Linked DNA regions of Rattus norvegicus. The protein of the gene in region 1 purifies or fractionates together with the protein of each later gene. This does not show direct contact. Links are inferred from orthologs where the notes say so. Each region holds a gene or a part of one and is shown on either strand. Other genes may lie near its edges. The genes, in order: Ptpn1 and Abcd3.

Evidence for each region.
Region 2: the proteins of Ptpn1 (region 1) and Abcd3 purify together in Homo sapiens (affinity purification with mass spectrometry; 3 studies listed by BioGRID and IntAct, with this or other methods). This does not show direct contact. The link is inferred for Rattus norvegicus from reciprocal best matches to the Homo sapiens genes PTPN1 and ABCD3.

The regions. Positions count from the first base shown.
Region 1 is NC_086021.1:177,099,214-177,103,026, reverse strand, and holds part of Ptpn1 (tyrosine-protein phosphatase non-receptor type 1), read right to left. Parts: intron 2,083-3,813; coding exon 1,873-2,082; intron 1,438-1,872; coding exon 1,276-1,437; intron 845-1,275; coding exon of another isoform or gene 800-844; exon of another isoform or gene 799-799; coding exon 578-798; intron 1-577. UniProt on the Homo sapiens protein: Tyrosine-protein phosphatase which acts as a regulator of endoplasmic reticulum unfolded protein response. Mediates dephosphorylation of EIF2AK3/PERK; inactivating the protein kinase activity of EIF2AK3/PERK.
Region 2 is NC_086020.1:212,548,622-212,552,434, reverse strand, and holds part of Abcd3 (ATP-binding cassette sub-family D member 3), read left to right. Parts: intron 1-30; coding exon 31-128; intron 129-221; coding exon 222-313; intron 314-1,410; coding exon 1,411-1,502; intron 1,503-1,583; coding exon 1,584-1,656; intron 1,657-2,981; coding exon 2,982-3,045; intron 3,046-3,813. UniProt on the Homo sapiens protein: Broad substrate specificity ATP-dependent transporter of the ATP-binding cassette (ABC) family that catalyzes the transport of long-chain fatty acids (LCFA)-CoA, dicarboxylic acids-CoA, long-branched-chain fatty acids-CoA and bile acids from the cytosol to the peroxisome lumen for beta-oxydation.

The DNA.
Region 1 (3,813 bases):
GGGGTCACCACAGTGCCACTTCCTGCAGGCACATACTTTCTTTTTTTAAATTTTATTTATTTTTCTTTTTTTCGGAGCTGGGGACCGAACCCAGGGCCTTGTGCTTGCTAGGCAAGCGCTCTACCACTGAGCTAAATCCCCAACCCCTGGGCACATACTTTTTCTTGTCATCTCGCTCTACCACACAATGCCATGAGCTTGTCCTATCCCCACACTGGAGGGTCTGCAGCATGGATTCAGGGTCCATTCCGATATTACCCAAGGACGCCTCAGACAGCTTGGGTGCTCAACAATGCTTGCATCGGGGTGAGGCGAGCAAGCTGCAATCCGACCCCGACCTCCTTTGTTCCGACACTGAACAAGTCAGACAAACACCACTAGGAGCACAGGTACCCCATTATAACCTGTCAGTCATTTCACAGGACCCTATTCAGGGGCAATGGGAGCTTGGTTGGACAGAGGCAACACCACTTCTCATGCATGCAGAAGCATCTCTTGTAAAGTTTTCAATGCCTTCATGTGATTCTGGACAAGCTGCTTCCTCTCACCCTGTCCCACAAGCCAGGCCCCCCATTACCTGCTCATGCTGTGCACAGCAATTGAGGGGGCTCTGCTTTCCTCTCTGGCCAGGATGTCCTCATCCTCACAGCTCTCCTCGCTCACCCACTGGTGGTTGGAGAAGAGCTCCTTGCACTTGCCATTGTGAGGCTCCAATGTGCGTTTGGGTGGCCGGGGAGGTGGGGGCACGTGCTCAGGGGGAGGCTCCAGGTCTTCATGGGAAAGCTCCTTCCACTGATCCTTAGAAGGCAGCAGAAGCCCCATTAATGCCAGCCCTGGGTCCGTCCTGGTGAGCAGGCAACAGCTCAGCAGCAGCTCTGGGCTCCTTGGCCCAGGCAAATATTGAGAAGGTAAATGTGCTCTTTTTGGGCTAGGGTCTCGGGTAGCCAGGCAGGCCCAGGACTGGTGGTGCCTCCACCTCTGAAGACCCACAGACTGCACAAGGCATGGTCTTTAGAAGGTCAAGCCCACTCTTCCTCTCAGGGCTCTGCAGAGCATGAATAAGGCAGGCAGAAGGGAGCAGTTGTTTAATGACTCGAGCAATGGCAGACATTAAGGAAGGGGAGCCATTTCTTATGACCTCGACAGCATGGGACCTTTTAAACTGGAGTTTCTTTCCCAGAGTAGTCCTGGTGAGCACGCACAGGCTCTGTGGTCTATCCCCAGCTAGGAACCAGGCCCAAAACCAACCAACTCTTGAAGCAGAGTTGCACTGACCTGCACTGACGAGTCGCCCATGATGAACTTTGCACCCTCGATCACAGCCAGGTAGGAGAAGCGCAGTTGGTCGGCCGTCTGGATGAGCCCCATGCGGAACCTGCGCATCTCCAACAGCACTTTCTTGATGTCCACAGAGGACGGGTCTTTCCTCTTGTCCATCTGCAAGCCAGGGACACTGGGTCAGCCAGAAGAAAGCCACAGAGGGGTGGGTGGTGGAGGGTCTCAGGGAAATGGGAGAGAAACATAGCAGACTTGGGACCGTTTGGGCCTGAGCTGGACGAGTTTAGAGAAGAATCATGGGGGTTCTAGGGCACCCGGCTCCTGTGTCAACTGGGGTACCTGGCTTCTCTGACAACCAGGGTGCTCAGCTCCTGCATGGGGGTTCTAGGGTACCTGGCTCCTGTAACAACTGGGAGAACCCCATGGACAAAGCTAGAAGGGGCTCAACCACCATCAATGGAAACTGCTGGCATCAAAGACCACAGCAGGGTGCCCTCCAAGGAAGGGGGTCTGTGGACAGCAACAGGAACTCTAGCTAAAAGGGTGGGTTCAAGCACGTTTCCTCTCTTCCTAGGCTTGCAAATCCCTCCTTACCAGTAAGAGGCAGGTGTCAGCCAGGCAGAAGGTCCCTGACCTGCCAATGCCAGCACTGCAGTGGACCACAATGGGGCCGTGCTCTGGGCTGAGTGAGCCTGACTCTCGGACTTTGAATAGGAAATTGAGGAAAGAGGCAGGTGACTCAGGGACTCCAAAGTCAGGCCAGGTGGTGTAGTGGAAATGCAGGATCTCTCGAGCCTCCTGGGTCTGAAAGAGAGAGACACATGCTGTTAGACTGAGTGCATTATCTACACAGACCCCATGTTTGCACCAAGTCGCTTCCTGCCCAGCCTTCCTCAGTGGGTATGGCTGGATCTGTCCACAGCCTTAAGCAGTGGACAATCCTCTTACCCTACTGTTCCTTCTACATTCACACATGTGGCCACAATAGTTTCAGCTGGAAAGTCGCCATGATGCCACTGGCATCTTAAATCTCAGAGAGCCTTCCTGTGTTTATGTGCGTGTGTGGGAAGAGGTACAGCAGGGTGGGGTGGGGCGGGGATTGGGATGTGCACCAGGTCTGGCTGGCCCAGGGAGAACACTGGGATGGGTCAGACAAGTGTTACTTTTCAAGAAAAGTCTCCAAAGACAGGTTTGCCAGTAAGGTGGCTGTCATACAGGTGAAGCATCAGCTGTGACTCCAGAGGCCAGACTGCTGGTGAGTTCTCCACACCATCATTCACCTCAAGGACCATACCCATTCCCATAGCTGTCCCACAGCGCCCCTGGAGCTGAACAAAAAGAATGGCCTCTGGGGGGTTGGGGATTTAGCTCAGTGGTAGAGCATTTGCCTAGCAAGCGCAAGGCCCTGGATTCGGTCCACAGCTCTGGAAAAAAAAAAAAAAAAAAAAGAATGGCCTCTGGTGCTCTGTTCTTTCCTAGATGGTCTGATATTTTAAAAACTATTTGCTGGGGGTCAGGGGTACCGCATGTTGAATGATCAGATGGTAACTTGCAGGGTTACTGGCAAGCACCTTTATATATGAGCTATCCCACCACCTCCATGGTCAGGATTATTAAAGGAGGCCAACTGCAGACCTCAGAGGGCAGGGTCCCAGGGCTGCAGAGAGGGCCAGCAGGTTGTGCCAGACAAAGAGTGGGATACAGACACTGAAGGCTTGACTTGCTGATACCAAGTTGCTATCTTTCTGCAAAGTACAGAAGGTCCCTGCTGTGGGACAAACACACATCAAAGACATGGCCACCCTTTCAGTGTGGCTTAGATCCAGGATGTTGTACGCAGCTGAAGGACCATCCATCTGGAGACCCTGAAGCAGCTCTGCCCACCTCCCTGCAAAACCAAACACTACCTGTATTGGGTGCAAGGCGGGAGGTGCCTCACATATACTTTAAAAACCGGCTTAGAAGAAAGCATGCAAGAACAGTCGTATTTACCTAAAGAGTGTGGGCTCTCCTACCACGTCCCCCCTGCTTCCCTTCCCTCTACAAGGACTCAGTTCTAGGGCCCAGAAAGGGGCTCAAGTGGAAACCTTGAGTAGGCCTCCTGTCTATAACCCCAGCACTGCAGAGGCAGAGGCTGACGGACTGGAAATGTGAGGCCAGCTTGGGCTACTATTGAGACCTTATCTTAATACAATCAACCACCCTCTAAAAGTTCCAACCCCAAACAAAGCCTAGGCTCTCCTGCCCTCACTGCCATGAAACAGACAAGCCTTTGGTGCTGCTCTGAAATGTCTCCCTCAATAAGCAGATGTCCCCAAATCCCACAGGCAGAGCAAACCACTCTCAGGCAAGAAACTGACTTTTCCCTTGGAACTGTGTTAAGTGGTGTCAAGGTGAGATTGCCGTGGGAGGTGGCTTGTACCCTGGTGCCTGGGCACTGGCGCCTACAACAGCAAGTTCTGCTCACCACAGGATGAAGCCATACTGTGCACAGGGCTCAGAATTCCTGAGAACGCCACAGTTGAAGTTAGCACC
Region 2 (3,813 bases), on another chromosome or scaffold:
CAGTGGGTAACATCTTAACCGCTGTTGCAGATATTGCCACTGTAGTTGGGTACCTGGTTGTCAGTCGCCCGTTCCTAGACCTGGCGCATCCGCGACACCTTCACAGCACCCACTCAGAGCTGCTGGAGGTAAGGTGCTTACACTGATGAAGACAACTCAGAGTTAAGGCTGTGCTCTGATTCAGAAATGTAAGCACAATCTAATACTCATTTGTCTTTAAGGATTACTACCAAAGTGGAAGAATGCTTTTGAGAATGTCTCAAGCTTTGGGGCGGATAGTTTTGGCTGGGCGTGAAATGACTAGATTGGCTGGGTAAGATATGCACTAATAATGCAACTGCATAGAACGGTTTTAAACGTGTGTTGTTCTTACATTGCTGGTACTCAGTTGACATTAAAACTGTGGGAGGTACTGACTCCTCCTACTCTAGGAAGCTGGTTTTGATAGAGAATGAGGGACGACTTCTCTCAGTGAGCTTCCCCTGCTTTCTGGAGGCAGCTGTGTGACTCTTAACTGGATTGGCGCCCTGTTCGTTTGCCGCCCTTCACGGACACCGGCCCTGGATAAGTTGGGGAATGAGGATACTTGGCAGCCTTCTTCTTTTATAGAAATTTAGTTAGTGAGTAGAAGTTTTACATAGAATATTTTTGCTGTCCACTATAGACTTTTACCCCCTAAGCATTTATACTAGCAATTGGGTTCTTTTTTTCCTCTTTTCTCCTACTCCCCCCCCCCCAAGCATTTTATTAAGGAGTGATTGGTGTATTAAAAAAATCATACTTGATGTGTACAAAATTCACGACTAAGGGACAAGTGTGTGTCTGTGAAACTGCCAACACGGAGTATACATGCACCGAGCACCGCCCACGGTCTCCTCTGGGACAGTCTGCTTCCTACACCAAGCTGGCGAACATTAACCCCCATTTGCTTCTCTGATGAGAAACCTTCCCTTTGACCTTCATGTCCTTCTTAACTCTCCAACTCCTGGTTCCTGGTCTGGTTTCTGTTGTCCAGTGAGAGCAGAGATGGTCTCAGTTTCCCCTTTGTGGAGAAGTAGTATGCATCAGTGCATACTTCTCTCTGAGGGAACGGCCAGTCTTATATGTGACTGCAGGTCCCTCCGTGGCTGCAGTGTGTACTAACAAGAACACGTGCTAGTGACCAAGGGAAATACGTGTCTTGCCTCTGGATGGGTGCTGTTGAGACGAGGATCCTGTGAAACTCCCTCCTCATTTCCCTGTCCCCTCTCTTTTGCTGAAGCAAAGTAGGATGTGTGTTAGTAATACTTTATGCTGAGGAGACGACCTTTAGGTTAGGTCTCTTAAGCTAAGCTACAATTTTAGACATTTCAGTTTATATACAAGATATAATAGCCTAGACTTTTGATTATGGTTTCTGTTAAATTTTAGTTTTACGGCTCGGATTACGGAATTAATGCAAGTACTAAAGGATTTAAATCATGGCAAATATGAACGTACAATGGTGTCACAACAGGATAAGGGTAAATATGACAATCATGGTTTGCAGTCATGATTTTAGGTCTGTCCTAATGTATAATATCTTAATAATTATTTCCGTTCAGGTATTGAAGGAGCACAAGCTAGTCCCTTGATACCTGGTGCTGGAGAAATCATCAATGCAGACAACATTATAAAGTACGTACTAGCCAAAGGCTCTGCTGCGCGCCGCACATTGATTATGCTTCATGGCAGCTTCTCTGCAGCTTGTAGTTGCATGTGCGACTTACAGTTGTCCTTCAAAAACTTTAAATAGCCTTGGTATGTCATTGATTTAAAAGGTTTGAGTATATACCTATACACACTTACGTATGTATAATTTGATGTTTGATATCACCTACGTATTGTAAAATAATGTCCCTGTTTCAGCTAATTATTGTCTTTTATTTCCATACCTGAGTGTGTGTGTGTGTGTGTGTGTGTGATTTCCTGTGTGTAGAGTGTATTTTTAACCATTGTTCCTGTGCTGCTGCTTAGACCTCGAACTCACTCATCTCCTTCATAAACCTGAGTGGCACCGCCTTCATTTCCCTGTTCCTCCACCCCAGCAACTCCTTCTCCATATGAGTTACATATGAACTACGCTTCTCTCTCTCAGTTCTTACCAGAGTGCTCTGTCATCAAAAAGAGAAATAGTTCAGTTCTTTTAAAAACATGTTTGTGGTGTAAAAAGTTTAAAACAAATTTTTACTCATGTGCTTGTGTGTGTTCCTGCTTATATGTGTGTGCACCATGTGTGTGCAGGTGTGTGTGGAGGCAGAAAAGGGCATTGGATCTCCTGCAGCTGGAGTTACACAGATTCTGAACCTGATGGTTGCTGGGCTCTCTGCAAGAGCAGCAGGGGCTCCTACCCGCAGAGCCATCTCTTCAGCACTCCAGATTCAGGTTTTTCTGTTTTCAAGGCTGAATAATACTCCCTTGTGAGAGCGTGTGCTTACACATACGATATATTCTTTATTCTTTTATCAGTTGAGAGACATTAAGGGAGTTTCCCCAGTTGGTTTGCTGAATAAAACCTGCAGTGAGTGTGGGGGTGCAGATACCACTGTGCGGCACCCGCTTATTTCCTATGGACAGCCACCTGCAATTAGGAGTGCAGTCTGAAGCATTAGGGCAGTGAGGCTAAGCGAGGAGCCTCCACATTGCTTTCCTGTCAGCGCGCTGACAGGGTTCAGGGCTCCTCTTCCTGCCTCTGCATCTGCCTGCACTCGCCTGCACTCGCCTGCACTTGCCTTTGTCTCTAGAAGCCAGGGAGGACTGACGCTCACTGCAGTTTTCATCTGCGTTTCTGTGCTGGGTAGAGATCTGGAGAGCCTTTTCAGTTGCATTTTGTGCCTGAATGTATGCTTTTAGCAAGTGCCTGAATGGTCTTTTGCTCTGTTGGGTTATTTCTATTTGGTGTATTAATTATTTAAGTTCCTTACATGTTTTAATTTCCTCTTTTCTATTAATGTCCTTTCTAGGTTTGATCATGTTCCTTTAGCAACACCAAATGGAGATATCTTGATCCAAGACCTTAGTTTTGAAGTAAGTTTTAAAAATGTTGATGACTTTAAATCATCTTCAAAATATGAATTGAAAATTGAATATTTCAATTAACTTTGAATTATCTCTATAAATCCATATAATCACATTTGAGACTCTCTTTGACATCTAGAAATCTCATTTTCTTAAAATGGACTGGCCTTCAAATCTCAGTGATTACTAGCACGTCAAGTTGATTTTGTTGGCGATATGCTCAGGAGCTAGGAGACGTCACAAAGGAACCAGCTTTTGTTCCTAGCACCCTCGTGTTGGCCATTCTCTCTCATCCTCTTTCTCTTTGCATTTTACTTATGTATTGTGTGTTGTTTGGGGGTGAAGCACGTGTCACACTGAGTGTGTCAGTCAGAACACAAATTGAGTGAGTTGTTCTCTTCTACTGTGGCTCCAGGGGTTAAACTCAGGTCATCAGGCTTGGCAGGGAGCGTCTGCCACTGACCCATATCACTAGCCCTGAACAATTCACAGCACAGTTGCACCTAGTGTAGCCATCCCAAGTAGGATATCAGCCAAATAAACAGTGTGTTTTCCTAACTAACAGCTGACATGATAGGTCATGGGAGCATGAAAAGGCAACCTTGACTATGTTCCGTGTGATTTGTATCTTGAATTTTGAGGATTACTGTTAGGTTATTTGTGCCCACTGGCACACTTCTGAAAATCAGGATTTCTTTCTTTTGGAAAGTCATCAGAAGACAGACTTGGCCATCAGAAAGCAAGTTTCCTGCCTGCCTGTCTGTTACGCTCTGTTGT